Struthio camelus: one gene and its partners. The protein of the gene in region 4 purifies or fractionates together with the protein of the main gene of each other region. This does not show direct contact. Links are inferred from orthologs where the notes say so. Each region holds a gene or a part of one and is shown on either strand. Other genes may lie near its edges. The genes, in order: SQSTM1; POU domain, class 5, transcription factor 3; CCT3; SOX2.

The links.
Region 1: the proteins of SOX2 (region 4) and SQSTM1 purify together in Homo sapiens (affinity purification with western blotting; 3 studies listed by BioGRID, with this or other methods). This does not show direct contact. The link is inferred for Struthio camelus from reciprocal best matches to the Homo sapiens genes SOX2 and SQSTM1.
Region 2: the proteins of SOX2 (region 4) and POU domain, class 5, transcription factor 3 purify together in Homo sapiens (affinity purification with western blotting; 6 studies listed by BioGRID and IntAct, with this or other methods). This does not show direct contact. The link is inferred for Struthio camelus from reciprocal best matches to the Homo sapiens genes SOX2 and POU5F1.
Region 3: the proteins of SOX2 (region 4) and CCT3 purify together in Homo sapiens (affinity purification with mass spectrometry; 3 studies listed by BioGRID and IntAct, with this or other methods). This does not show direct contact. The link is inferred for Struthio camelus from reciprocal best matches to the Homo sapiens genes SOX2 and CCT3.

Annotation. Positions count from the first base shown.
Region 1 is NC_090954.1:7,033,507-7,041,494, forward strand, and holds the start of SQSTM1 (sequestosome-1), read left to right. Parts: upstream 1-4,987; 5' UTR 4,988-5,101; coding exon 5,102-5,279; intron 5,280-5,356; coding exon 5,357-5,452; intron 5,453-6,200; coding exon 6,201-6,430; intron 6,431-6,570; coding exon 6,571-6,727; intron 6,728-7,199; coding exon 7,200-7,289; intron 7,290-7,800; coding exon 7,801-7,988. UniProt on the Homo sapiens protein: Molecular adapter required for selective macroautophagy (aggrephagy) by acting as a bridge between polyubiquitinated proteins and autophagosomes.
Region 2 is NC_090961.1:13,637,172-13,644,345, reverse strand, and holds the start of POU domain, class 5, transcription factor 3, read right to left. Parts: upstream 3,002-7,174; coding exon 2,495-3,001; intron 1-2,494. UniProt on the Homo sapiens protein: Transcription factor that binds to the octamer motif (5'-ATTTGCAT-3'). Forms a trimeric complex with SOX2 or SOX15 on DNA and controls the expression of a number of genes involved in embryonic development such as YES1, FGF4, UTF1 and ZFP206.
Region 3 is NC_090971.1:3,933,323-3,940,426, reverse strand, and holds the start of CCT3 (T-complex protein 1 subunit gamma), read left to right. Parts: upstream 1-4,096; 5' UTR 4,097-4,371; coding exon 4,372-4,402; intron 4,403-5,588; coding exon 5,589-5,650; intron 5,651-6,098; coding exon 6,099-6,149; intron 6,150-6,245; coding exon 6,246-6,308; intron 6,309-6,885; coding exon 6,886-6,982; intron 6,983-7,104. UniProt on the Homo sapiens protein: Component of the chaperonin-containing T-complex (TRiC), a molecular chaperone complex that assists the folding of actin, tubulin and other proteins upon ATP hydrolysis.
Region 4 is NC_090950.1:23,949,179-23,956,765, reverse strand, and holds SOX2 (transcription factor SOX-2), read left to right. Parts: upstream 1-4,679; 5' UTR 4,680-5,125; coding exon 5,126-6,073; 3' UTR 6,074-7,087; downstream 7,088-7,587. UniProt on the Homo sapiens protein: Transcription factor that forms a trimeric complex with OCT4 on DNA and controls the expression of a number of genes involved in embryonic development such as YES1, FGF4, UTF1 and ZFP206. Binds to the proximal enhancer region of NANOG.

The DNA of each region.
Region 1 (7,988 bases), on a different chromosome or scaffold from region 4:
GATGGCAGACGAGTAGCGCTGGGCATCCCGCGACACCGGCGGGAAGGGGGCCCTCGGGGCGCTCCCGATTTCCTCTTGGGCAGGTGAGGCGCCCGCGGTCACCCCGGCGGGGCGCAGCGCCTTGCCTCGCGCCCGCTCTGGCCAGCTGCAACGGCTGGTTAAAAGCAGGACCCGCGTAAGAGGGAAAGCCCCGATAACACCTGCCTGCAGGAGCCCCCCCTGCCCAGCTACCTCCCTCGAGCCTGTACTTTAGGAAACAAACGGCCCTTTACAGTCTTGACGGGGCCCTCCGACATCTTTTAGGCATCACTGGAGCGAATCAGCAGAGGGAGCCCGGCGGGCGGCGCGGGACGTTTATTAAAGCCCTGCCAGGAGCGAGCCCGGCGCCGTGGCTGAGTCGCCCCGCGTCCCAGCGGCCGGTCCCGGAGGGGCCCGGCGCCTGGCGGGGGCCGGATTTGGGGAACGCGCCGCAGGGTCATTGTGACCCCCCCAAAGCTGAGCACTGCGCTACTTTCTTTCTCCCCTTAAATCCACAACTTAAACCCGGGAACCAGCAATAGGTTCACAGGAATTAATGGAAAAACCCTCCAGAGGTAGCTGACGGGTCACAGCTGCTGGTGGGAAAGGCGCACGCCATCTCTCTGCCGTTCAAGAGTTCGGCGAAACGACGTGACGCAGTTTAGTGCATCGGATGCTCGGCGTTTATTTTCAGATACGCAAAATGTTCCTGACACTTGGGATGTGGGTTTATCGGCAGCAGAAGAGAAAAGGATAATCTGAATAGTTTCTCCAAGACAATTAATTACAGTGTTCTCCTAAGACAAAGCTTAATCTAATTTCAGCTTTTACACTTTGTCTTCATAAAGGTCTGAAGAAATGGAGGAACTTTATACTGCCATTGCACATCAAAAACCTTGGGCCCTGTTGGAAAAAGGTGGGGCTAAGCGAAATTGCCAGCGGTTGCAACTTTTATCTCAGACCGACAAAGTTCGCATTTACTCTTAAAGTTCCTCCCTTCTGCTTCAGTTTTGACATTTACTCTGTTTAAAAAGTAAGTTCTGACAGGCCTTCTGGGTGCTTTTGCCGTGCCAAGTTTAAAATGTGAACTGCAAAGACATAAAACCCCGATGGCGAATAAACAGAGAGAACGTGCTTTTTGAGCTGATCTCACGCTCTTTGAGCCGTTGACGTTGGCAATCCCGAGCCCGTTTCAGAAAGCAGGGCCTTCCACTGAAGGCAGCCTGATAGCAACCCCCGGGGCTGGAGGCTGTAACAAAAATTAAAAATAGAAAGCATACATTACTTCTAGATGCAAAACGTAACCCGGCTTTATAGCTGATTTAACCCGGCTCTCCCCAGAGCTCGGCTCTGGAGTTTGGCCCATCTGGGATCAGGTCACGCTCGGTCCGTCCCAGGGCTGATTTAAGCAAAGCCTGCTTGCTGTTTTACCCTTTTCATGAAACACAGTAACTTCATTTCCTGTTTGTTTTACACAGCCCTGCGCTTGAAGAGCATGATAACTTGGTTTACTCCGCTACAAACGTTTCCAAATGATGCCGGATTTCATTGCAGGGTGTTTACATCAGGTTTGCTCATACGCTCCGGCTTTAATTCGGGGCGGAAGCCACGAGTCACCTTTGCAGAGCAGCAGTCACCTCGAGCAGTCAGCGGAGGCTGCGAAAAGTTCCCCCTCGCTTTTGGAAACACGAGAGCCCTCCTGCCTGCGCAGCACAGCACGGCCACGATGTTTGCCCTGCGCGCCTGCTAAACAGAGGTTTTTTCCCCTACTTATTCCTCTTCGGAAAAAAGAGTCCTAGACTCTTCTGTGCTTAGAGCGCACTTCCGCGTGACACCACTGACAAAAGGTACTGAATGAGCTAACCTTGGGAAAAAACCTCAAAAACGGAGGACAGCTTGACCTTCCCTTCTGCCTGCGCTTCTGAGAGAGAAGCTTTTCCGCATCCAGTTCTCCAGAGCAAACTTTCTGGTCGTGACCCTCGCGCCTCAGCCCAGCTCCTACACACGCGCGTTCCTAAAACGCGCTGTAAGAGGCCGCTGAGGGGCAGCCGGCTCCGGAGAGAGGAGGCGGGAGGTGGGCTCGGGGGTCCGGCCGCTGCGCGCCCGCCTCCCTCCCGCCTGGGACGGGCGGTCACGGCAGGGAGGCGATCACGGGACACGGGACACGGGGCTGAGTCACCCGCCTCTCGCCCCCTCGGTTCCCCCACGCAGCCCGCAGGGCCCCGAAGGGGGATCCCAAGGCCCGACGCGTCGCGGGCCCCGCTGAAGCGAGGCTTTCGGCAGAAATCGCCTCCGCTGGAGAAGCCGCAGCAGCGGCGGCAGCAGCACCAGCAGCAGCAGCGGCAGCAGCCGCCGCCGCCGCCAGCAGGCTCGCAAGCGGAGAGGCGGCTGGCCGCCCTCCTGCGCCCCCGGGGAGCTTGCTGAGGCCACAGGGAGCGGGGACATGGGGGGGATGTGCAGCGATCGCGCCCGCGGAGCACCAATCCCACGCGATATTTTTAAACGCTTCCCAGCAGGGAGCGGGTGCAGAGGGAGCACCACGAGCTGTGGGGACGATCATTGCTCCTTTGTCATAGTTGTTTTCTTTTTTTTTAAACATTGAGTAGTTTATTTCTTATTTTTTAACATTGAGCCCTTCCTCCCTAACGTCAAAATTTGCAACTGTAACAGCTTTTCCTCCCCCCCCCCCCCGTCTCCTTTGCTGTTCCACCGCGGATAGCTGCCCCGAAACGCACAGAAAACGCGCAGAGTTCAGGCGAGCTCAAGCCAAACCCGGGGGGGGGGCGGGGGGGCGAGTGCAGCGGGGCCGGGGCCGCAGCCAGCCGCGGCGGGGGGGACGCAGCGGCGTTTCTCGGGGCCCCCCCGGCCAGCTGGGCCCCCGGCGCCGCGCTGGAGGGGGCGGCGCGAGTCACCGCTGCCCCGTGATCCCGGAGCTCAGCTAAGGACAAGGCCGGGGGGGGGGGGGTAAAGCTTTGTTTTCCGTGTGTTTTGAAAAAGTGCGTGATGTCAGGGGAAGGCGAGGGTGACTCAGCACGCAGCAGGCGCGAGGGGAAATTCCCTCTGGCTTTTGGCCCTTTCCACGTTTGCCAAGTGGCTTAAAGTTCACCCGGAGCGAAACTTGGGCTTCCGCGCTTAACGCGGTGACTCTCTCGAGAATTACAGGCGTCGACGTTAATCCGGAGACGCGACCACCTTGAAAGGACCCGTCAGCTTCGGAACAAACCGCTGCGGGATCGCGGCGGAGGGTGCAGCAGGGTCTGCACCGGGGCGGCGGCGGCAGGAGCTGCTGGGGCAGGACGCCAACTGGGCACCTACGGAAACAATTTCCCGACAGCCGCGTCCCTGGCTCCAAACCAGGGGGGTCCTCAAAGATGGGAGGCGACGGATGGGGCAGCGGGTCCCCGGCGACGCCTGGGGAGGCGGCTCGGACGGGCCGGCAGCACCCGGCGCCGCTCGGCCCGCGCCCGCCCGCCGCTCTGCTGGCTTCGTGCAACAACGTGCGACGCGTACGGTGATGTCAGGCCGTCACCCTTCAGCGGCGCTTTCAGAGATAAGACGCACGCGCGGCAACCGGGGGGAAGGGAGGGCGAGAGGCCTGCGCCTTCGCTTCGTGCCCAAACCGCTCAGTACTGAGTGCTGCTAACCGTGCTGAATCATTCGCCGCCCAGCGTCGCTTACTTCCTCTCCCGGTTAAACGTTAACTCATCGCTTCTGGTTGGAGAACCGGCCGTGAAATAGCTAGGAAGCAAACCGGGCCTTTGAAGTTAAAAAAAGGCAATTTTATCTACCCTGAACGCTGTTTTCCAGAAAATGCCTCGACTTCAGAATTGCCACACGTCTGCCAAACATTTATCTATGTGGAAGGGCAGCTGTTTCCCCATGTATCAGGTCGAGAAACAAACTCCCTCCCCATCGTGGAAAAGCAAACTTAACTTTCTCTTGATTTCAAAAGACGATAAATCATGACACAGTTTCTCCTAAATTTGTATTCTCTCAGACTGAGAAACATGTCGCTAACACTGAGGGCAGCGAGGCCCTTAGGTGAGAGGAAATTAACACCAACTAGGAACCTAATAGTCATTGATCCCTCTTGATTCAGTTACGCTTGGAAGGGGCAGATAGCGCTGTCGGCCAGCTGACTCTCCTGCGGCCTAAGAGGCCTGTCGACTGCATCTGATCCGCAGAAAACCACCGCTGCCAACCGGCTTGGAAAGTCCCCAGAACAGCATCCTTAATGTCAGTTGTGTTTATCCTCGTATCTTTATTTTTAGCCCTCCTCCCAAAAAAAAAGAAGGATTCAGGAAAGATTGTTAGCTGACACGTTATTGTTCCCCTCCAGGGCGGCGCTCCCAGCCGGGTCCCTCTGCGCCCAGCCCACCCCGCGGCGGTGGCAGCCGCAGGGCGGCGATGGCACCTGCTCAACCCCGGCAGCCGCGAGCACGGTTCCCCCGCGGGGACGCGTTCCTGCATCTCCCGCGCCCCCTCGCTCCCCGGAGGTGCTCCGAGGGCCGAGGATCCAGCCCCGGGCGCGGAAACCGCAGCTTCGGGGCCGGCAGCCCAGGAGCAAACTCGAGCCCCTGACGCTAGGTGCTGACTGCTGCGGCTGCAGGTGGTTTAACGGGGGGGGGGGGGGAACGACCCCTTTGCATCGGCGGCAGCAGCCGGGGTCTACCGGAGGCTGCGCGGCCCCGGCGGGGAGGAGGCGGCTGGCCCTGGGGGTGGGCCCGGCTCCCGGGGGTTCCCCTGCTAGCCAGAACCCGGCGCCAGCCTAGAACCGGGGCACAGCCTGCCGCTGGGGGGAGGGGCCGGCATCTGGGGCGAGCCTAGAACCCGGGGGCGGGGACAGGGGCGGGGCCTGGAAGCGGGGGGGCGGGGCCTGGAAGCGGGGCCAGGAATCTGAAGAACGTCTTAGACGCTAGGGGCGGAGCCTGGGCGCCAGGGGCGGGGCGAGCTGCGGGGCCCCCCCCCCCGGCCCGGCGCTATAAAGGCGGGCGGGTGGGCGCCGCCCCGCCCGCCGCGCTGCGCTCTGCCCGCTCGCTCGCTGGCCCGGCTCGCCGACGGCAATTCCTGCTGCGCCACAGCCATGGCGGCTCTGACGGTCAAAGCCTACCTGCTGGGCAAGGAGGAGGCGGCCCGCGAGATCCGCCGCTTCTCCCTGCCGCCGCCCGCCCGCTACCAGGCCATCCACGACCGCGTCGCCGAGCTCTTCCAGGGGCTGCTGCGGGCCGGGCCGCCGCCCGCCTTCCGCATGCACTACAAGGGTGAGCGGGGCCGGGGGGCGGGGGGCGTCTGGTGCCACCCGGCCGAGGGGTCTGACGGCGAGTCCCGCTCTCTCTAGATGAAGACGGGGACCTGATCGCTTTTTCCAGCGATGAAGAACTGGAGCTGGCCCTGCCCTATGTCCAGGACGGTGTTCTCCGCGTTTACATCAAAGGTAACGTTTTTGGCCCTGAACAGGCCACCCGCCCCGTCCCCGGGGGGCCGGTGTAGCCCGCAGCCTCTGGAGGAGGGGCTGAACGAAGGACAAAGTAGGAGACCCCTCTGCTGAGGTAAGGTGGACAAACTTACCGGTTTCCTCCTAGCCCTGTAGTCTCAGCTGGTCAGAAAAGGCCATTTTAGTTGTGCTGGCTACCTGGAAACACGTGACTGGCACTGATCTCGTTAATGTTAACAGTGATATGTCAAGAAGCTGAAATTGCAGTCCTTTCATCAGTGCTTAGTTGCCCCCTACTGCCTTGTGTTGATTTAGATACCTCCAGAGCCTTGTCCACAGTCTAAGGAGTTAAACAAGCTGTCGCTGTTGTCCCCATTTGCATCTGTTATGTCTCGTGGCATTTCTTAGATCCCTCTTATGAAGCCTTTTGTCTGGACGATGCCCAGGAAGGTAGGGCAAGAAGCCAAACGGAGTAGCGCGCTGTTAATCAAATGCAAACATGGAAAGAGAATCTATTAAGGATAAGGCCTGCTCAGACCAAGGAGCAGGTATTTTGGTGAAACCACTTCACTCTTGGTTCAGGTTCTCTTACGTGCCCCCGGCTTGTGTTTGGCAGCTAGCATAAAAATAAACTGACCTAGTAAGTCAATCCTGCTGTAACAAGTGCTGTTTGTTTCCTTCTCCCCTGCCTGATTCCCAGCCTTTAAATAGTAACCTGGTTCTAGACACAGTCTCCTTTCCTTAACAGAGAAAAAAGAGTGCAAGCGAGAACATCGTGCACAATGCAGCCAGGAGCCTCCCCGTGATATGGTGCATCCCAATGTGATCTGTGATGGCTGTGAAGGACCAGTGGTGGGTGCTAGGTTCAAGTGCACTGTCTGTCCAGACTATGACTTGTGCAGCACCTGTGAGAGTAAGGGCATCCACAAGGAGCACAACATGGTGATGTTTCAAAGTCCACTGCTACATCCGTTTGAGGTGAGCAAAATCCTGTTTGCTAATCTCCCTCCATAGCAGAAGGATTTTCCCTGAAAGCTGCTAAACCAAATCAATTCCTTTAGTTTCAGCTGCTCGTAATCTTTGTATGAACACAGTCACATGAACATTACTCTTTCCAGTGGCTTCCCCGAGGACGTTGGCTCCGTAAGATGCGGCATGGTGTTCCACCCTTCCCATGGATGCATCGCTGGGGATATCCTGTTCCTCCAGCTCCTTGTCAAAACTCTGAACAAGCCCAAGCCAGTGCTGCAGCCTCCAGTCCACCCACTGAGCAAGGTAAGAGGAGAGGCTCTGGTAAACAAAGGTGGTGGTGGAAGTGGCGGGGTAGATGAGGCTTCTGCAGCATGGTGTGGAATTGTGGAATCTGGGTGGAAAAACACTGAAACTATTTGCTTAAAATAATTAGCACCTTCCAGGGCAGAGTAGGATTGTCTTAAGGCATGCTTGGGCCCATGCAATAGAGGAGGATACAGAGATACTACTTGAGATCGTATCAAGGAGAGCTATGTTAAATCAAGCTCATCACTACTGTGCTCTAGACGTGCCTCTCGCAGCATGGCTAATGAACTAGCTCTGGAACAGAAAACCAATGACAAGAGCCTTGTTAAGGCTCACGTCGCTATACTGCCTTTCTTGTGCAGTGTAGATAAGCAATAGAAAACAAATACGGAGATCTCTTGAGGGATATGCTCTATAAATGCCGTCTCCCCACTGAGCTGCTGTGTGCTAACAGAAACTGTTTTTCTAGAAGCTTCTACTAACAGCCAGCCTCAGGACCCCAATGTCACCTTCTTAAAGAATGTTGGGGAGAGTGTTGCAGCTTTTCTGAGTCCCCTGGGTAAGTGACTTCCGGTTTGTCCATCCCTGAGACTGGCTTTGTGTGGCTCCTTTTAACAGGAGCAATGAGCTGTTGTGACTGATACCTGATACCTCATGCTGCCAAGCCTGAAAACCTTAACTTATTCCCTGTCCTAAAAACGCCTAGACTTAAAACATCCACTTAATACCCTTCCGGAGTCCCCATTTGGAAGGAAATGAGGAAAGACGATATGTTTTGACTGTATCATGAAGTCAGAGATGACTCAGGGCTTTGCCTTGCTTATATGGATGTGTACAACTTCTGCTTTGACCCTCTAAATGTATGGAGCACTTGTCCCAAGAGGAAGATGAGGCTGTCTGCTGGTTAACTCTTCTTTGTTTTAAAACAAAAGTTTCTCACTTAATTCCTGCATGTTCCATAGGAAACTGTAGAAATGCTAACGAGTTTAGGCCAGGATTAGCAAAGGCTCTTTCAGGGCTCAGCTTTGGAAAAAAATCTGTAAAACTCTTCCTCTCAAATGCTTTTATAGGTATTGAAGTTGATATTGATGTGGAACATGGAGGACAGAGGAGCAAAGTGACTCCTGCTTCTCCCCATCAAGAGAAGAACAGTGCTGAGCCCAGCAGCAGTACTGTTGACCAGAATAGTCAGACCAAACCAGACTGGAATAGCACAGATCCTGCTACAGAAGTGAGTGCTGTTGCAGAGCAGATACAA
Region 2 (7,174 bases), on a different chromosome or scaffold from region 4:
GACAGAAGGTTTTCCCCAAACCCTGAGCAAGGGATTCTGTTGGGCCCTGGATCCCAAAGCACCTCCACCCCACCTTGCTCTGCAGCAAAAACACCTGGAAAACTCCGTCAGGACCTGGCCTGGCTGTGGCTCACCAGGACCATGGCGCGCATGTCCCATCTACTACACCAGCATGGCTGGTGCAAGGGCAGGTGGCGGGGAGCATCCACGGCTCTCCCTCTGCCCCTAGACGTGCCAGGGAGCTTCCGCCCCCGGATTCAGACCCTTGCTGCCTGCCCTGGGGCAGCACAAACACAGCCTGAAGCGCGTTCGCTGATGTCCCTGGCATTTCCCCTCCATCACACATCCTGTGACCCATACCATGGTGCTCAGCTACCCAGGGACATGGACACCCATCTCCCATGGCCCTCCGGCACAGAGAGAGGGGCACGCACCAGCTCTGCAGCCTGCTGAGGCCCAGAGCAGGCAAAATGACTCAGATAAAGAAAATGAGGAAAGCGCAGATGATCTGAATGGGTTTTTAACAGATCTTTGCAACGACCAGGCTCTACACTTCTGGAAAGCTGCTTACCTAAGTGCTTCATTTCCTCTCTGCATTACAATCTGGAACCACTGCAGTGGACATTTTGCAACCATTTAACAAGTTTTCACACTCGTAGCAGAATTTCAGATTTTACAGAAGTGCCTCCTGCCCACAAGTCTCACCTTTTAACTGTTCGCAGACATCACCCACAACAAGCCTGAGCGCATCCCTGCCACAGGGCACTCCCGACCCTTTCTCAACTGACAACAAGAATTTCATCTAACCCCCATCCGGCACTGCAGAGCCACGCACGGGTCAGGACAGCCCAGGCGTTTGGCCACACCGCGTGCACCCACCAGTGCTCACAATTTGAACTCCGTGGGTCTGAGCGCTTCTACTCCCTTAGGCACCAACACAGCAGCAAGCCTGCATGAAAACAACAAACCAACCCGCAGTAGAAAAAACTTGCAAAAACTTTCTAAAAAAACCAAAACAAAACACATCACCATTTGCTGTTAACCCTGGAGTAATTTTGCCTGGGAGCACTGGTTTTCTATTATGTCAAGAAGGGAGTTTAAAAACAAAAAACGAACACACAACTTCTGCCAGTCGTGCTGCTAAATCGTGCTGCCTGCCCCTTGCTGGAGCTGCTGAGCAAGCGGGCTGCAGGTGCTGGGGCTTTCCGTGCCCCTAGGCTCAGGTAACTACAAGCTCCCAGTGGAGCCCTTCAATAAGCACAAGTTTGCGTTTTCCCACCGCACTCTGGGAGGATGCCAGCGAGACCCCCCAGCAGAAAGGGTTTGGAGAAACAGCTGTGGTCTTTTCATAGCTACACAGGTTGGAGACGACTGTTACAGATCAGGTGCAGCGAGACATACCCCATAGCCATGATCTGTTCTGGTGTTCCTGTGATTCTCATCTGAGCAGAGTTTTTTAGTACAAAGTAACATGCTCAAGGAGCATTCGACCCAACTCAAAACTGCCCTCAAACCTCAGCAGCGGGTCCCAGTCACCCACAGAGGTTGGGAGATTGCAGTGACGGAGGCAGCAGAGGGAAAGTCAGACCCTGGGTACTCCCCTTCTTCCGCAGCATCAGTAGCATCATGATGCAGGAGGGATCACAGCACGTCTGAGTCGGATGCTGAGGGCATCCGGAGGTTGCCCCGCACAAGGATAGCTTAAGGGATTTCTGCAACGATTCCCAGCCTCTCACGCCCTGGTGTCTGCACAGCCAGCGAGGGACCGGAGACCCTCCCGGCAGGCAGCTGGATCCAAGTCCCCACTGCTTTTTTATGTGCTGAGCAGAATACCCTCTGCTGGCAGGTTTATTCTCCCCTTGTCCCCCTGCGAGGTTAGACGTTCCCCCGCCTCGGCCACCTAGGAGCTCTGTTTTGAAATGTCTAGAGGGAGGAAAAAAAAGTAAAGTGCAAAGCTGCATTTGGGCAGGAGCTGACAGCAAAGTGAGCAGCAGTCGCCCAGGGGCAGGGGGCTGGGGGACAAGCACCGCGGTCACCCCCAGCAGCGCCCGGAGCTGCTCGGCCTCTCCCCGAGCAGGGTGAAGGCTGAAGCGCCCCTTTCAACTGGGGGGGGGGGGTCCGCAGCTCACCCGTTTGCTCCGTTTCTCTGTGAGAGGTGCCCCCCGCCCCGAGCCCCGCTCCGCCCGGCGGCAGCGGGCCCGGCCCCGACGGTCGCCGCCTCGGCTCCCCCGGCAGAGCCGAGCTGAGCGCCGCCTCGACGGGCTCCTCGGCAGCCTCCGCGGCCCTGCCCCGGCCCGGGCGTCAGGCAGCGCCCGCCGGCACCTGCCCCGGCCAGGGCAGCCGCCCCGGGGCAGGCCCGAGCCGGGACGGGGCGCCCGGCGGCCGGCAGCGCAGCGCAGGCCTCGGGGCGCCGTCGCGGGAGGCCCGGCAGGGCGGAGCCGGGGCGCGGAGCGGCGCAAGCCCGCTGCCGGGGCCGGCGTCGCGGGTCTCTCACCTCGTCGCCGCTGTCGCTGGACTGTCCACCCTCGCTGGCGGCGCCGCTGGAGCTGCCGCTGCTGCCCAGGCTGGAGAGGCCGCCCGAGCCCTGCTGGAGGGCGGCGGGGCAGAGGCCGTGGCCGGCGGGGAAGGCGGCGGCGGCGGCGGCGGCGGCGAAGGGCGGGCCGGGCAGGGCGGCGGCGGGGGCCGCGGGGCCGCCCCACGGCGGGGCCGCCCAGGCGGGGCCGCAGCAGGGCGCGGCGGGCGGCGCGGCGCGGCCGTCGGGGGAGCCCTGGCGGCAGGGCCGGCCCGGGCGCGCCTCCGCCTTGGCCGCTGGCCCCGCGGCCGGGGGCAGCCAGGCGCGGGGCGCGGCTGCGGCGTCGCGGCCGCCGTCGGGCTCGGCCGCGAAAGGGAAGAAGAGCTGCTGGGCGGCCGCGCCGTCGTAGCCGCTGCGGGCGAAAGGCGGGCCGCCGTCGGGCAGCAGGCCGAAGGGGGCGGCCGGCAGCCCCCCGTCCGGGCTGAACATGGTGCCCGCGGCCCTAGGGCTCCATGCGGCGCTGCGGCAAGGCCCCGCCGCGGCGCTCAGGCCGGGCGCAGCTCGCCCGACGGTGCCTCCATGCTGCGGCGCCGCCGGGGCCACTGAGGGCGGCGGGGCCGGGTCGGGCCGGGCCGGACCGTATGGAAATGGGCCCCGGCCCCATTGGCCCCAGCGGCGCGGCCGCACCGGTGGGTCGGGCATGAACTTGATCCCCTTTTTCTGGTGGGGGGAGGATGAGGAGGGGGCGCCGCCGGCCCGGCCGCAGGGGTGTCTGTCCGGAGGGGAAATAAAACAGAGCGGCTATGTGATTTATGGCCCTCTGGGACTCTTCCCGTTGGGGCCATGGAAAGGAGAAGGCTGGATCCCCCCCGAGTGGGGCGATAAACCCGGCCATGCTGTGGGGCACCCATATGCTATGCCTCGAATACCCCGTTTGTGCAGCAAACAGCAACCTGGCAGGGCCATGACTCCCTGTCCCCCCGCGCACAGCTTATGGGGTGCTTGGGGATGGGGGAATCCAACGTCTCCATCCCTCTGTAGGCAATGCTCCCCTCTTAGCATCTCCTGACCTTGGGAACTCCCTGCTGTAGGGTCTCGTGGTGGGCAGGAAAATAGCAATCAGGTTGGGGGGGGGGACATACTTTGCAGATCGGTGATAGTCGCAGTGGCCTGAGCTAAGCTGGAAGGTGCCCGCTGGGGTGGGCGCCTTGCCTAGGGCTGCAGGCCGGCCCTCATCAGCAAGACTGAGGACGAGCCCCAGGGATGAGCAGCCACCAGGATGCTGCTGGGGTGCACTGGGGGTGCCTTACAAGCGCTGGCCAATCCCTTCTCGCCTGTCTACAGTCCGAGCAGTGCAGGCCTGCTGCTCCGTGGGATGCCTTGCTGAGTGCTTCAGAGACCATGGCCAGGAGAGAAGCTGGGCACCCCTGGCTTCCTTGCGCTCCCACTGTTGCTCCCCTCTTCCTCACCCTGCAGAGGAAGGGTTGCACCTGGGAGGGCAGGCATCTGCTTTGCTTTGCAGAGCTGCGGCCTTTCACTGCATGAGGCCCCGGAGCGCTGGGTGTGCCGCTCTGGGGCCTAATCACGGCCCTCGCTATCACGCAGATCGGCTCCACAATGGGACAGGCATGATATTTTTCGCTATCTTAGGGGCTTTCCTTTCACACTGCGGCTTCACAATGGAGCTATCAGACCTGGGCTCAAGGCATTTCCCCCCTTCCCTCCCATCTCCCATCCATGGTGGCTTTCCGCGGAGCCCACGGAGGTGGCACGGCCCTGACGCTGCCACCCCATCGGCCTCGGCGGAGGAGCCAGGGCACAGGGAGGCACGGGCAAGGCAGGTACCTGGTGACCCCCGGCAAGATGTGGGGCAGCCCCCCATCTCCAGGGATGGGGCCCCTGTGGAGCAGGCCCGCTGCCAGCACCTTTCCCTGTTTATTAACCCGGATTACTGCGAGCTGTTGTTTAGCCTTCTGCAGTCTCACACTCGGGAGATATGCCAAAGAGATAGGCTTGAAGAGTGCCCCCACCCCTTGGCTTTGTGTTTTGGATAGTGCTTCTGGCAGGGCCTGAAAGGAAGGCGTTTTGTCACTGATTTATGAAACAATTGCTCTGGGTGGTGGCTGCTGAGCTAGGAGCTGGGGCCGGCTCCCGGGAGGGCTGCTCTCCCCCAGGCTGAGCACCCTTCGTTTCGGTGGCCCTTGCTGCCCTTTGGGGGACGTGGGTGCGTGCACGTGTTTAAGGGATGCAGAGAACAGCCCCCCACCCCGTTGTAATGAATTTTATAAAAGAGAGGAAAAAAGGGGGGGGGGGAACAAGAGGGTGAGCTGTATTTAAAGCTCCTTCCCGACTCGTGGATGGTCTCGCTGGGGGTTTGCGGCGTCGCCTGTCCTGGCTGGCTGTGTGGCGGGTGCCTGTCACCCTTCAGTGCACCCCGCTGCTGTAGAAAAGGGAGGGCAGCCCTTAGAAAAATGCCCTCGGGAAGACTTGAAGGCTGCAAAAAAGCACTCGGTGGGGAGGAAGGCAACCCCGGAGTGCCTCAGGGGAGAGCAGACCCCGCTGCAAGCCGGGGCTGCGGAGGGCAGAGCGGTGAATCCCGCAGCTGCGGCCAGGCGCCTTCCCACTTCCCGCAGCACGGCCGTCACGGCGGCAGGCGCTGGCTTGGGCTGTGCCGTTTTCCGGCCGCTAAGGAGCGAGCCGCTCCTCCGGCCGGGGCTGAAGGCCGCCGCCGGCAGCGGGGGCCAAGGGGGCGAGCAGGAGCGGGCCCGGCCCCGGCCCCTCTCCGGAGGATGCCGCCCGGAGCCCGCGGGCAGAGGAAGTGTCGCCGCAGGACTCCAATGGGCAGCGATCAACCTCTGCTCCTGCCGGGCTCCAGCTGGGGCTGCGACGTTTTTAGAAGACCCTTCAGCTCGGCAGTAACTCCCCCTTTCCCTTTGATTTATTGTTCCTGGCCTGGGCCCCCTCCTCCTTCCCCGACCTGCTCTTTCTCTCCATCCCCCCAGGAAGCGGGGCCGAGCCATCGCGCCCTCAAACACATTCCAGCTCCCTTTCATATACAGGCGGAGGCGAAGGGGAGACGTTGACTTTGAACTGCCTCTTTGTAGGAGCCCGGCCCATTGTGGGCAGTGATGTTTTTCGCTGGGGGATGTGGAGCAAGTCAGTGGGGTTTCTCTCCGTCCCCCCCATCCATTTCAATAGGGCGAGCTCTGGGGCTGCGCGAGGTGCAGGGCTCCTGGTGTGCCCCATGGCCGGCGCTCGGCAGCTCCTCACCTCCTTCCAGGGGAGATGCTCCTAGAGTTTGCATGCTCCGGAGGAGGAAGGCCGTTGCCTCCCAGCGTGTCCTGGCAGGCAGGCCGTCCCCATACCCACAGCCTTATCCTGCAGCACTGTAGTGCTTTGTGGCAGGCTGAGCACTGTGATCTGTAACCAAGCCAGATGTCAGTGGGATCCTGCTCAGAAAATGGGAGCAGAGAGAAATGTCCGTGTCCTACCAACCTTGGTGAGATGATAGCAAGCTGGGGGCACTGAGGTGCGCATGTATCTGTCTCTCCCGTCTGCTGCATTATGCTGGCTTGATGCTGGTTTGGCTTGGCTTGGTGACAGAAGATACTGCGAGAACGTGTGGCCAAAGATGATGTTTTATTCACTGTCAAACCACCCTCTCTCCTGTGGCAGGTGAGATAAAAGGACTCTGCTGGATGCACCTGAATTTAATGCATAATATACTGGAGTCAGAGCAATGTGGTGGGCTGCATCCCTGCACACGGTGGGCATGGGGCCAAAGTGGTCAGCAGCAACGTGAAGGGCCCAGCTAGGTCCATGTTTGAAAAGCTTCGCTCCAGGCCCATCTGACAAGGGTCAGACCGGTGGCTTCCGCCCCCAAAGTCCCATCTAGGGCAGCAAAACTGAAACTCCTCCATGGCAATCCAGTTTGCTAGGCTGCAGCTGGACGGGCCTGCCAGGGCTGGACAGACAGACCTGTGCAGCTGCAGGTAGGTGAGGGAAAGTCTCCTTTGCACCCCGGCCATGGATCCTGACCTGGCAAATCCTGCTTCACCAGCCTTGCCCATGAGTGTGGGACAAGACCACTCAGCTGTGATGGTGTCATCCTTGGGAGCAGAGCTGGGCGCTGCCCGCTGGCCCTCCTGGTGTGCCCTTGCCTAATGATAGCATTAGGTGAGAACAGCCCCCTTCACTTCCCTGCCCCCCCCACCACATCTTGCTCCCCTGGGTCCTGGCCAAAGGACTGCTCCTTCCTTCAGCTGAGCAGGGCACTCAGCTCTGCCTCCGCCCCCCCAGGCTCTGGGCTTGCACCACAGCTGGGGACCTCCCTCTGCTCCGCTCTCCTGGCTCCGTGTAGCTGTTTTGTTTGGCAAGGATTAAGCAAGGGGCTTAGCTGGGAAGATGCCACTTGCTGATGCTGGGAAGACGAAAGGACTGCTTGTAGCATATGAGCCCAGGCTGAGCTGAAAGCCGTGGAGGATGGTTTGGTCCAGATCTGCATCCTCATTAAACTGGCCTGTGCAGCCCAGCCCAGCAGTAGGCAGCCTGGGTTGTAATTTGGGCATCACCCACATCGCTGCAAGCTTGAACCACCAGCCCTTCTGCTCTGCAGTTATTGGGGGGGGAGGGGGACTGCACACAGGTAGGCTGGGGCTGAGC
Region 3 (7,104 bases), on a different chromosome or scaffold from region 4:
CTGCCCCACTGACTCCCCAGGACTCCCTCACCCCTAAGCAGATCTCCCTTGCCCCACAGAAATCCCTACAGCACTCCCTCACCCAGCAGAGAGCCCCCCTTTCTTGCAGAGACACCCTCTCCAGGACTCCCTCACGCCCTTGACATACCCCCTTCCCCCAGGACCCCTCCCCAGACCCCACTTTTCCCCCAGAGACCACCCTCCTAACACTCCCTTTCCTCCAGAGAGTCCCCTACTTGCCCCCAGAACTCTCCCCATGAACCTCCCCTATCCCTAGAGACCCCCCTCCCCCACGGCTCCCCTCATGGCCCTCTCCTGCCCCACAGACCCCCCCCCAGGGCTCTCCCCACGCCTTCCCTTGCCCCACAGACCCCCCAGGACTCCCTCTATGGCCCTCCACTGCCCAATAGACCCCCCCCAGGGCTCCCTCCATGGCTCTGCCCTGCCCCACAGACCCCCCCCCCCAGGGCTTCCAGGGCTCTCCCCTGCCCCACAGACCCCCTCCAGGGCTCCCCCCTGCCCCACAGACCCCCTCCAGGGCTCTCCCCTGCCCCACAGACCCCCTCCAGGGCTCTCCCCTGCCCCACAGACCCCCTCCAGGGCTCCCCCCTGCCCCACAGACCCCCTCCAGGGCTCCCCCCTGCCCCACAGACCCCCTCCAGGGCTCTCCCCTGCCCCACAGACCCCCTCCAGGGCTCCCCCCTGCCCCACAGACCCCCTCCAGGGCTCCCTCCACGGCCCTGCCCTGCCCCACAGACACCACAACTTCCCCCATAGATCCGCCCTGCCCCACAGTCCCCCTCCATGGACCCCCCCCCCACGACCCCCAGAGGCCCCTCACCGTCGCTGCCCCGCGGCACCCAGCGGAAGGCCGAGTCAGCACAGAGCGGCCGGAAGTCCCCGCCGACCGGAAGGCGCCGCGCAGCACTCTGGGAAAGGTAGTCCTCCCCCCCGGACTCCGCGCCTGCGCACAGCGCGCCGCCGCTGGGTCCCCTTTCGGGGCAGAGGCTTTGCCCAAGGAAACCTGGCAGAAGCGTCTGCAAAACGCCAGCTTTTAGTCCAAACAAATACTAAGAACCACCCCTCCCGGGGGAGAAAACGGAGAGCTGCTGCCTGTGCCAGGCCCCGCTGCCCCAGGGGAGGCGGCTGGAGGTGCACGGGGATTTTGGTGCTTGGTAGGACAGGCTGGTAGGTACACCTGATCCCTGGAGCAAGGCAGTGCCACTTCTCCAGGACCTGGTTGCCCTTTATTTAGGAGAGGACCAGTGACCTGAACCTATAGCTCAGGTTTGCTGGAGTTAGTGCTTTGGGAGTGAAGTAAACAAAGCTGCCAAGCCAGGATGGAACATAGGAAGCCAGAAAAAGTCCATACCTCCCCTCTTCCTTTGACTACTGTTCACGTTTCTCGCCATCTGTTCCGGCAGTTTGTGTATTTCTCCTCTCTTATCTCCTCGTTGAAGAGTTCTGGGCCCAAGGGGGAGATGAGGTGCCTTCCCCACTTTCCTGCCTTCAATTAGCGACAAGCAGGTAGAGCAGGAACCCGATGACCACCACGGCTCGGAAAAGCACTTCAAGGAGGAGCAGCAGGAGCATGCTGAAGACTAGGCTGGCCAGCAGCTGTGCCCAGCTCACCAGTAATGACGACTGCATAGAGACTCTGCAAAATGATGAGGGAGAAGAGGACGAGAGCAGGGAGTGGGATCACGGTTAAATTCCTTAAACGTGAGGTTAGCTATGTGGGTTGCCTCTCCCAGCACACAGCCCCCAAAACTGTACCTTCGTATATTAGGGCCACTCCGCTAACTAGCCTCACACCAGAGACGCTCCGCCCTTCTGTTTCCGACAGATTAGGAAACGTACTGACCTCCCCATTGCAAAACCGGTAACCAAAGCAAAAGCTGCTGGGCTCAATCTCCAGGAGGAAGCCTTGAGAGGTCACTTGTTCCCATGCTGCTCAGGCAGTTGCCTGCAGACCTCTGGTGGGAGGAAGGCCACAAAGGCACAAGAACTTCCCCAAATCCACACCTCCATATACGTGTTCCTCCTCACACATACACACACACAAATAAACAACCCATGAATCCACCTCTCCAGAAACCTCCCAGCTACGGGCTCCATGTACCTCCTCATACTCCTCTTGCTCTTATCAAAGTTCCCCGCTCAGCGTTTGGCAACAGACCTCCACGTACCCACTTTCTTCTTTCCCCCACGAACCAGGACAGTAATAGAGCAGGAGACTGGGAGTTAGCACTCCTGAAACTGGGCAGAGCTTAGCTGAGCCACAGACTATGGGAAACATCACAAAGCTCAAATCAATGTCAGCTGTCCACCACAGAAGCTGCATAACCACAGGCTGGGTTCCTCTCTCCAACACCTCAGTGCAGGTCCTTTTGAACAGCCCTTGGGAAGGCTATGAACCATTTAAAAAAAATCATACAGAAAACATCGATAATAATTGTACTTCCTGTTCCAAGGGCAGCCCTGTTACAGCCACTGTAATATGGACTGTCATGCTCGCACCTCCATGCAGGATATACAAAGGAGAGGTGACTGGAGGGCAGAGCGTGGGGCTGGGTCACTTGGGGAGAGAGGCTGTGCCCTGCAGACCTGCCTCCTGCTCCTCCCTCTTACATTGCTGGCTTTGCAGCAGCAGCCGCACGATCTACTGCAATCGGGAGGGTCAGATAGGCCAGAGCAACCTTAGTCTGGATCCGGAGCGTGTTGCGCATGCGCTCCTGCAGGGCAAAGCACTCCTGTGGCTGGCAGTCAGGGGCTGAGAAAGAAAGGACAGGAGGATCAGGCTTTTGCCCTTTCCTCCACTGAGGAATGGGAAGTATAAAATGGAAAAATGACTCACTCAAGGCTAACTAGAGCTGCAGAAAACCACAGTCTGACCCCACTGCTGCACCCTTTAGGCTACGCTCCCAGCCTGCAACTGGAAATAGACCCCAGAAACCAAGCGCCCACCTACCATACTTTGAAGCTTTGCCTCACACACGTTATTTCATTCTCCTTGAAAGATTGTTATTGTGGGGAGCTGCAGCGAGACTTAAATTTACGCAAGATATTTATCAGTACGATTTGCTATAGTGCCAGGAAGCCCAGTCATAGACCACAACTCCATGGGGGCAGCTATCACACAAACACTGAGAAAACACCAGTCCTTGGCCTAAAACGCTTAGGGCTTTTGACGGAGAGGAGACTTGAATTTCTCTGCAAAGCACCTTGTTCAAGCAGTAGCCGGACAGCAAAGGATAACACATCCAACCTACTTTTTCTGTGTGTTTTTCTTCCTGGTTAACCGTTGGTGGCTCCATATGAGCAGAAAGAGAGCTGCTAACTACGAGAGAGGGGAGAAAAAAAAAAAAAGAGCCGTGTTACTCAATGAAACAGGTCAAGGAAAATAAACTGGGAAAGCTGGAAACCTCTCCATGCAGCCAGGCTGCTGCTGCTGCTTTTGCGAAAAGGCAAACGGACTCCTTTTCTGCCCCTCTTCCTCTATAGTAACATACTGAGCAAGCTGACGGGCTGGATCACGAGCAGGGGGAGGTAACCGGCTGCTTCGGGCTCAGGGAGCGCTGAACCGAGGGGGGAATCACGATACACCAGGGCCCTGGGGAGGCCTCGCAGCCGCAGGCCGAGGGTCTCCGCTCTGAGGCGAACCAGGGCGGCGGCCCAGGCCCGACGGCGGGAGCTTCGTCCCGCCCGGCAGCGCCCTCAGCGCGGCGGCCCAGCCCCTCGCCCCGGGCCTCAGGCGGCCCGAACTACCGCTCCCAGCATGCCGCGCGGAAGCCTGCCACTCCCGTGATGCCCCGCGCTGGGCGAGACCAAAGCGTTTACGGGAGGGGTCAGGTTGGCGCTGAGGACTAAACTTCCCCCATATGACACTCAGAGACCCTCTAGCCCCTTTCGATTTCTTCTTTGGATCCGCTTCGTCCTGCTCCGGCACCTTTCAGGAGCGACAGGGAGCACGGAATGAGAGCCTCCCCCGCGGACCCTTCCAACGGGGCGCTCCGCGCCCTTTTGCGCATGCGCAGTCATCTCCGGCACCGCCCCTCCGCAAGCTCGGCGCGTGCGGCCTACGCATGCGCAGTGCCGCCTGGCCCCGCCCCGCGCGGCGCTGCCACACGCTCTAGGGGCTCCGCTTCTCAACCGAACTTGCTGAGAGAGGCGGGGAAGGAGGGGGGAGCGGGAGCGCCGTCTTCTTATTGGGCGCCGGGCCGGCCACGCGGGCGCTGATTGGCCGTGGCGGGAGGGAGGCGGGGTAGGGTGTCGCGGCACTGTGAAGCGGCACTTCTCGGCGCGGCCGCCTCGCGCTCGCTTGTCTCCAGAAGGTTCCGCGCCGGCCGCCGCGCTCCAGCCGCCTCCAGGATGATGGGCCCGCGCCCCGTCCTCGTCCTCAGTGAGTCCCGCCGGGGCCGCGCCGGACCTCGGGGGAGGGGGGTCCCCCGGGGGGGTGCAGGGGGCAGCGGGGGTCCCCCTTACCTCTCCCCCCACCCCCGCCGCCATGTTGGGTTCCCCCCTCAGAGCCGGGCCCTCCCTCACAGCCGCTGCCGGTTCCGGTTCCCCGCTCGGGGCGGGGGTCTCCCTCTTCTCCGGGGGCTTCCCTGCACCCCCGCTTCCCGCCCCGGCACGCCCTGAGCTTCCCCCCCCCCCCCCCAAGTGTCTCAGTGTCCTGCTATTCACAGCTGCTGCTCAGCCCTGGCCGGGGCCTTGCCCCCCCCCCCCCGGCCGTGGCCGCCCCTCTCCCAATTCCTTCCCCCGTGTGTGTCTCAGCACTCCGCTTTTCGCTGTCCCGTGTTTGAGCCCCTTACGCTGTTGCGAGGCTCTTGCCTTCCTCTGATGGGAGTCCTTCCTGTGGGCACTGCTCTCTGCTTGGCTTTCTCGTCCTTCCCTTCGCGTTGCTCTCTTTTGTTCTGTCTGGTAAATCTCATCAACGTGCGCAAGCGTCCTCTCCTGAAGTAAAGCTGTGCTTGTCCCTTCTGGGCTTGTAGTTAAGGAAAAGCGGCACCAGAGCTGATCTGGGTGGTGATTCTTTGGGGCAGATCCCTTTTGACAGCTGGTCCCCTAATATGGTTGTGAGGCTCTGGTGTGGTGATGACTGCTTGCACTAATGTCCTGAAGGCTGCGCGGCACTGATGTATAAGGCTTAACTTTATAATGCTGTTTTACTTATTGTGCATGAGCATCAATAACTGTTCAGACCGCTGAAAAATCCTGTGCAGCAATTTGTATGCTTTATGGGATCTTACAGATTCTAGTGAATCACTGCTGTTTGATTTTTGTTGGGGGGCAGAGAACATATTTTGAGTGTGCCAAACTTTGTCTTAGTTGAATTATGCTGATGACCAGGAATTCTTTAATGCTGTTTTTTGTTAATATGGTTCTGTGAGTATGCTCTCTCATACTGGCAGTCGCATTTATCTTGTAAGCCCTTAATTTAGCACTGGTCATATATCCTGTGTATGTGCCTGGGATGGTATCTGTGATGCATTGTCAGTATTACTACTTTGATCTTGGATTTCTAGTAAGATCAGATTTCAGTTATGTTTGGGCTGTTACTATTTATTTTTTCTTATGTACTTTAGGTCAGAATATGAAACGCGAGTCTGGAAGAAAAGTCCAGACTGGGAACATCACTGCTGCTAAGGTACCATATTATTATGCTGGTCTCATTTAAATTTAAGAGGAGAAACTGAATTTGGAGAGTTTTTCCTAGGCTGTATGAGTCTAGAGTAGAAGGAGCATAGAAAATGAATTTTCAGTGTTAAAACAACAGGTGTTAACAGTGTAACTGGACACTGAGGGGTTTAACACAGCAAACAGCAGCACCCCACCAAAACCTCTTTCTCTGCAAAATCTGAAAATGTACAAATATTGACTTCTGATTTAGACAATAGCTTAGGGGGATGCCAACACTACTATAGTCCCGCGCCCCGAAGTTCCCACAACTTCTGTATCTAAGCCACTATAGAATTGTTGGGTCACTTAGCTCTAATGCAGTGGCTGCCTGTTTCATGTAGATTATGGTTTACTAGAGGCTGTTTTAGACATTGATGCCTCCTTACATTGCCTAATTCTTTTTTTTCCCCTCTTAGACTATTGCTGACATCATCCGAACATGTTTGGGACCAAGAGCTATGATGAAGGTAAAAACTGCTGAAATCCTCTGTGCTGTATATTGACTAGAAACAGTGCACGTATGGCAGGCCACTGCAAATAATGTTTCTCTCTTTATATTGCAGATGCTTTTGGACCCTATGGGTGGGATCGTGATGACCAATGATGGCAATGCTATTCTTAGAGAAGTAAGTTTCTCCTAAAGGATTGTTTTGTTTAACAAGTGAGTCAAAATGTTCTAGAATGCAGTGAAGTAGGTGCCAGTGGAACTATATTGTTTTGCCTTGAGTCCTGAAAGCCAAAAGTAATAAACAGCAGTACCAAGAAGAGTGCTTACTGGGGAGGAATGAAATATTTCTAGCTAATTCTTTCTCCTCAGGAAAGTAGATTTGGCCCCGGGGTAGTAAGTTGTGGTGGTGGTTTTCCAAGATTAGTATAAATTTGATGTTAATTATAGTTATAGTCACTTGTAGGCCTCAAAATCGAATGAGTAGATGGTTCCTTTTACCACGCAAATAATTAGACCAAGAAGTCTTTGTTCAAATAACATCATAGAATTCTAAGTGCCGGAAAACTGGGAGATGCAATATTGTGGAACACGAGGGCTTATTTTCCGTCTTGGAAAAGAAGAAGATTCTTTGCCATAATTGGACAGAATGCCTTTGATCACTTAAAAGGTGTAGTAGTGTTTGTTCCATTGAGTAATACAAGACGTTTCAGCTTTAATATTTTGGACCAAAAGCATGCTGTTTGCCTCCCCTCCAGATTCAAGTCCAGCACCCAGCTGCAAAGTCAATGATTGAGATCAGCCGTACTCAGGATGAAGAAGTTGGAGATGGGACCACATCTGTAATTATCCTTGGTAAGAAGAGTGACTAAGACGTGTGCTTTTTTAAAAAGGGTAAGGCTGAAGTTTGCCCTGTCTCAGGCTAACTTAATTCTTGTATGTGATAGCGTTCGCATGATCAGATACTTCTGATTAAT
Region 4 (7,587 bases):
CTGCAATTCAACTGTAATTTCACCCTGTTATATTGTGCAGTAATTTCTGAGTTTATCCTCAGCACTGGTGCTTGATTTTCTGTTTTATTTTGGGGGTCATGTAGCAAAAAAAAAAGGGGGGGATGAGGGGGAGGACTTTAGTTATACTCTCCTCTGGGAAGAAAGTCCAGGGAGTGTTATTTTAGATGCATAGAAAAAAAATCGCAGGGAGTTTGAGAAGGCTGTTGGCTATTTATGACGAGTCCTGGAAGAGTGTTTGGACAATCGGCTTCTCCATTTATTGAGAAGCCCTTTGAAAGCGACTTTGAGAGGTGGTGTGTGTGAGCCGGCTTTGCTGCTGTTTATTGTGTACGTTAAACACGTCTGAGGAGGTTTCTCTATTTTTTATTTTTATTTTTTTAATTTTGCCTCTGGTAGCACTGCAGAAAGGTGGACACGGATTTTTTTTTTTAACCTCCCCGCGTTTTTTTTTTTTTTAACGCCATAAAAATCAACAGCTGAGCGCTGGTTCGCGGGCCGGTAGCCGGGAGGGGAGGTGGCAAGCGGGCCGCTCGGAGGGCGCGGAGCTGCCGCTTCCCCCGGGGGCCCGGGGCGGCCCGGCCGCGGCGCGGGGGAGCCGCGGGGCGACGGCCCCGGCCGTGCGCTCGCCGCCCGGCCGCACGTGCGCTCGCCCTTAGGTTTCATTAGGGAGAATTAGGATGAAAGAGGAGCCCGGGGAGGAATGCCGAGCTGCCTCGGCATTCCCCAGCTTTCAAGGGTCCTTAGAGCCCTTGAATGAAATTATTGGGTGAAATTGGGTCTGGCTGGAGCATTTGTTACTCGCCCCCCTCGGTCGTTTGTACATATAATGCCACTTCTGAGAATGACAATCGGGCTACTTGCTGGACAGGCAGGGACAAAAAGCAGATTAAACCGTTTTAAATAATAATAAAAAATATCCAAAATGTAAGCAGAGTGGATTACACTTGCTCCAGCGCCTCGGTTCCCCCCAATTCCCCTAAGAGTCACCCTCGCCCTCGGGCCTCTCGGAGAGGAGGCCCTCGGCGCCGGGGGGGGGGAATCGGGGAGCTGAGACAGCCCCACTGCGGAGCGGGTGCGGAGCAGTGTGCGCAGCACCGCCGCCGCGCTAGATGCGGCCTCTGCCAACTGTTGAAGTTTGCCTGAGCCCGTTTCAGCGCCCCGCGGTCGCTGCCGGGCCCCGACGGACGCTCCCGCGGACGGGCGGTGTTTGCTCGGCTGCGGGAATCCCGCGCTTTCCGCGCCTGGTGGCGGCCGGGGCCGCAGGGCCCTTCCTGCGAGCCACCCGGCCCCGGCCCCTTCGGTGGGTTTATACCCACTCGCCGTGGGTGTTTCTTAGAGCGTTCAAGGGCATTTCTGCCCACCTTTCCCTCTGGATGCTACCGCAGATTCACCAGGTGATATTTGAAATTCCCCAGAGACAGGGGTATGGCTAGCGTGGTGAAACTTCCTTGGCTAACTTTAGCTCCTGTGTGATGAGCTGGTACAGAATTAGAGGGGGAAGAGGAAATTTCTCTGTACATTTTCGTCTTCAGATTTTTTTTTTAATGTAATGAAATTAAAACTTTTGGAGCTCACAGCTGACATTTTGCAGAAAATTGAGTTATCAAGGCAGTAATTATTTCACAGGGAGATAAAACTCTCATAGCCCTAACTGTCAAATAGGGCCCTTTTCAGATTTTAATTACAAAATAAAATTAGTCTGCTCTTCCTCGGAAGGGTTTGTGAGTGGCTAAACAGAGCTTTCCCCAATACTGGTGGTCGTCAAACTCTGCTAATTAGCAATGCTGAGAAATTCCAGTTAACAAGGACATTCTCTAAGTCTCTGCAGGTTCCCTGCCGTTCGCCTTCATTTCCATAAGAAGATTAAGAGTGGAGGGGAACACACTCAAATGCAGATGCAGAAAAGAAGCGTTTTTAACAAGCATCATAATAGTAAGATGCTTGGCTAGTTCTCACCTAATTACTGCAAGTTAAACCTCTATTTGCAGCTAAGGACAAAAAATGGAGCTGCAATCTTCCATCTCCACAAGACTGCTTAATAGTTTGCTTTAGATGGGTTACTGGTAGGTTCAGGAAAAAGAATATGAAAATGGGTATATTCTTTCTGATACAGTTAACACGATAGGTTGTATCCTCAGGGTTTTTAAAGAAAGCAGCGAGTATCAGAACAATAAAAACATAAAATTCAAGTAGCTAGCATTCATCTTCTTTTTCAGAAACTCATAACCTGGAAATAAAAGTGAATGTGCCGTAGAGCCCACCATTGAGAACATTTGCAGACTATTTGTTTAAGCACTTTTCATTTCCATAAATTATACCAAAGGCAAAGATTTTTTAAATCCACCCAGATTAAACCATCCCTCTGCAGGCCTCCCTTTCAACGTGTCTATATTCTTCCAGAGAGTGGTGGTGGTATTGTTATTAATACAGAAAAATGAGGTACCGTTTCCTCCTTTTATTTTATAGTCAGCATCCCAATCTGTCTATACTTCTGTGTGTCTGTGTACACATATGCAGCCAAACACCTATATAAGCAGAGGAAAGGGAGAAAATGTTCTAAAAGAGGTCTCGCCCTTATCTTATTTTCTATAGCGCGTTATTATGTATATATGACAGACAGAGTTTATTGCGTCGATAAGTAAAAGAGTTAATTAAAATAAAGCTGTAAATACTCCCGATAACACAATTGTTGGGTATTTCCACCCCTTATTTGTGTGATAAATACAGTTAAGGAAGGGCTGGGCCGGGCCGGGCCAGGCCCCGGAGCCGCTCCAGCACACGCAGCCCGGCCCGGCCCGGCCCGGCCCGGCCCGCCGCAGCTACCGCGCGAGCGAAAAGAAGACTTGCTTGTGCACCACCAGCCCTCAGTTATCAATTCAGTACGAAAAACAAACACCACTGCCACCCACCCCACCCCCTTTTTTCAAACTTAATTATCCCTGAGATTTTTTTGGAATAACGTTATCAACTGCAGACCCAAGCGTAAACAATAAGAAAGTAAATAGCCGTTGTGCCCTCAGGAGGGTCTGGACAATCAGAACCCGTTTATTTCCTGGATCTCATAATTTCTACCTATTTTTCCATGGTTACCCTGTCACTTATCTAGGGGTTCTATATACATTTTCGAATTAGACACATTAAATCCGATCGGATTTATTTGCATAACCCACAAAAAGATGCATCCGTGCTGCTGGCGTATTCTTATATGTATGTACGTATATAGTGCTATTATTTAGATGGCATGTCATTACCGGCTCCTTCCCCCCCCCTTTCCCTTCCCGCTCTCACGCCGCTTTCCCGCGGCACCTCCCGGCGGGGCGCGGGCGCAGCCAGCAGGGGGCGCCGCCGCGCCGCGCCTGAGCGCCGCGCGGGGCCGCGGACGGGGCCGCGGACGGGGCCGGGGCCGCGGCGCTGCCCCACGGCGCTGCCCCTTCCCCCGCCGGGTTCCGCGGGCTCTGCCGCCTCCGCGGAAAATCACCCTGCCCGCGGATCCCCCGCGGCCTAAAGATGTGAGGGGTGCTCGGATTTGGGGCAAAAAAGCCGGAGCGGGGGTGGGGTGGCGGGGAGGGGAGGGGAAGGCCCGTCGGTGGGGCAGGCGCGGAGCGGGGCCCGCGGCTGCTCGCCGCCGCGCTGGGGCGGGCGCGGGGCCGCGGGCGGCGGGGCCGGCGTGAGGCTCCCCCCTCTCCCGCTCTTCTTCCTCCTTTCCCCTCCTTTCTTTGTCGTCAAGTGCGTTTTAGCAACAAAGATCCCAACAAGAGAGTGGAAGTAAACTTAGCCGCCGCTTTGTTTGGCCCCGTGTAGTGACAACAAGGGAAACAAAACTACCTATTTGTAACGGCCTCGCCGCGGCTCTGCCCCCCCCCCCGCCCGGCCGGCCGCTGCGCCCCGGCGGAGCTGCGCTCGCCACCACGGGCGCGGGGTAACGCTGCGCCGCGGCCCGGCCCGGCCCGGGGCTCCCCGCCGCCGCCAGCCCCGCCGAGGGGTGCCCCCCCCTCCCTTGGCTTCCGTGGGCACGGCGTTTGGGGCACCCCCTCCCCTGCCGCGGCTGCACCGGGCACCTTCCCTCCCCCCCCCCCGGCGTTTCCCGAAGCCGGAGGAGGGAGGGAAGGGCTCGGCGCTGTGTGCCAAGGTTTGAACGGAGCCGGGCTCGGGGCAAGGGAAGCGGGAAGGGCGCAGGTTGTGCCCGGGCTGCCCGGCCGGGGGGCTGCGCTTTTGGGGGTGAGGGGGGATGAGGGGTCAGCGCGGGCGGAGCCGGCCGCGGCGAGCGCTGCACACGCAGGTCGCCGCCGCCCGCGGGCCCAGCGCAGCCGGGCGGCCCCGCCGCGCCGAGGGGCGCCGGCCCAGGGGGGACGGGGGCGGGGGGAAGCCATCGCCGCTCTGCTCCCTCCATGGCTTCCCCCAGCCCCAAGCCAACACCAACTTATAAAAAAAAAATGTAGCAACAATGCTGTTTACCCACTTCCTCCAAAAGGCGTGTGTGACCTGTTGCTGGAAGGGGAGATACAAAGGCTTCCCAGTGGCTGCCTGGGCCGCCTCTGGGCCCGCCCCCCCCCGCCGCGCCGTCCCGGCGGCGCCGAGCCCCCGCCCCGTTTCATGCAAAACCAGGGGTAGAGACTTGTCCTCAGTGGAGGAGCCGCCGCGCGCTGATTGGCCAGGGCGAACACATTTATTCCCTGACAAGCCCCCATCACATGGATGGTTGTCTATTAACTTGTTCAAAAAAGTATCAGGAGTTGTCAAGGCAGAGAGAGAGAGTGTGTGTGTTTGCAAAAGGGGGTAAAGTAGTTTGCTGGCTCTTTAAGACTGAGGTGGAGAGAGAGAGAGAGAGAGAGAGAGAGAGAGAAAGAGGCAGACAGAGAAAAGGGAAAAAGGAGGAAGAAGTTTTTTAAAATCGAGGCTCCGGCAGTAATAATAGCAGTTATTAGCATTATTAATCCATCAGCGAAGAGGAAGATTCTGATCTTGATCCAAGTGTGGTTTTGGGGAGTCCCCCTCCCCCCTTTCCTACCCCTCCCTAGGAAAAAAAAAAAGTCCGGCTTGGGACTTTGCTGCCGCTGCTCCTCGCTTCTCTGCTCAAGGCTGGTTCCAGGCAAAAGTAGTTTGAATGTACAACATGATGGAAACCGAGCTGAAACCTCCCGCCCCCCAGCAAACTTCGGGGGGAGGCACAGGCAACTCCAACTCGGCCGCCAACAACCAGAAGAACAGCCCGGACCGGGTCAAGCGGCCCATGAACGCGTTCATGGTGTGGTCCCGCGGGCAGCGGCGGAAAATGGCCCAGGAGAACCCGAAGATGCACAACTCCGAGATCAGCAAACGGCTCGGGGCCGAGTGGAAACTTTTATCCGAGGCGGAAAAGAGACCCTTCATTGACGAAGCCAAGCGGCTCAGAGCTCTGCACATGAAGGAGCACCCGGATTATAAATACCGACCCCGGAGGAAAACCAAGACCCTCATGAAGAAGGATAAGTACACGTTGCCAGGGGGCTTACTGGCGCCGGGCACCAATACCATGACGACTGGGGTAGGGGTTGGGGCCACCTTGGGAGCTGGGGTGAACCAGCGGATGGACAGTTACGCGCACATGAACGGCTGGACCAACGGAGGCTATGGGATGATGCAAGAGCAGCTCGGCTACCCGCAGCACCCGGGCTTGAACGCGCACAACGCGGCGCAGATGCAGCCCATGCACCGCTACGACGTGAGCGCCCTGCAGTACAACTCCATGACCAGCTCGCAGACCTACATGAACGGCTCGCCCACCTACAGCATGTCCTACTCGCAGCAAGGCACCCCGGGCATGGCCCTGGGCTCCATGGGCTCGGTGGTCAAGACGGAATCCAGCTCCAGTCCCCCCGTAGTCACTTCCTCGTCTCATTCAAGGGCTCCTTGCCAAGCGGGGGACCTCCGGGACATGATCAGCATGTATCTACCAGGTGCTGAAGTACCAGAACCAGCTGCCCCAAGCAGACTTCATATGTCCCAACACTACCAGAGTGCACCTGTTCCTGGCACAGCCATTAATGGCACACTCCCTCTATCGCATATGTAAGACAAAGGGGCCGGGGGTGGGGGAAAGGAAAACTAAACAAAACAAACAAACAAAAAACTTTTATTAGAAATTCTGGACTTTTTTTTTTTTTGGACTATTTTTGTACAGAGAAAACTGGGGGCGGGGAGGGGGGGGAGAAATAAAACCGACGAGGAACTTGTATAGATCTTGGAGGGGAAGCAACTACACAAAACTTTTAAAAAGTTCTAGTGAAAACGGTAGGAACTTTGCAGAAAGTTTGCAAAAGTCTTTACCAATAATATTTAGAGCTAGACTCAAAGAGCGAAGAGGAAAATGTTTTAATATTTGCAGGCAACTTTTGTACAGTATTTATCAAAGTAAACATGGCAATCAGAATGTCCATTGGTAATATAGAGAGGGAAAAAAAACAACTCGAGAATTTGCCAATTATTTTTTAAAAATAGAGTCTACTTGGAGCATTGTGACTTTGGCAGCTGAATTTATAGCAGCTGCGAGAGGAGAGGAAATTATTTTACAGCATTTGGACATTTAAATTGTTTTAGAAATTGTACAAAAGGCAAAAAGGTAGGACGAGTACTTGCGAACCATGGGCTTGGTTTGCTATAAAAGGGCAAACGTTTAGCTTGTACTAAATTTTTTTTTTTTTACTTCTTGTTAAAAAGCAAAAATTGCCATGCAGGTTCACACGCCGTTTGTTAATTTATAATAACTTTTTGTTTCCAGACTTCATCCTGTTCAGAGAAAAGAAAAAGAAAAAAAAACCAACCTGAAATTACTGTGTTTGAAATATTTTCTTATGGTTTGTAATATTTCTGTAAATTTATTGTGATGATATTTTAAGTTCTTTTTTTTCTCATTTTCCGTAGTTGTATTTTAAAGATTCGGCTCTGTATTATTTGAAATCAGTCTGCCGACAGTCCATGTATATATTTGAACTAATACCATCCTTATAACAGGTACATATTCAAGTTAAGTTTTTACTCCATTATGCACAGTTTGAGATAAATAAATTTTTGACATATGGACACTGAAGTTACGCTTGAGTCTTGGATTTATTTTTGTAATGCAAGATTTTTTTTTTTAATAATTCATGCAGTAGAAAGTGGTATCGTTGTGAGCAGCTGAGTATTGTAAATAATACAGCAATATATATATTACACATGCATATATTTTTTATAGCTATATATAAAGTACAGTAGCTTTAAGTAGGTAACTGAAGGTGACTGCTTTGCAGGGACGGGAATGTGGAGTAACACGGTCTGTTCCAGATTCCCTTCCCCTTCGCAAGGAGGGCGCGGAGCGCGATGGGGTGAAAGGACGTTTCGGACTCGCCGTTTGGGACCACTTGTTGCCTCGGCGGGGCCGCGGCCGAGCCGGAGGGCTGCGCGGAGCCGAGCCGCGGCAGGAGGCGGCGGCGGCGCGGTGAGAGGGCCCAGGCGCCCCGTTTACGGGTCTCGAGCATTGATAATTTCTCTCGTTTCCCCCCCGGTGCTTTCTGCCGTGGGGCAGGCAGGAGGCAGTGGCTGGGGGCC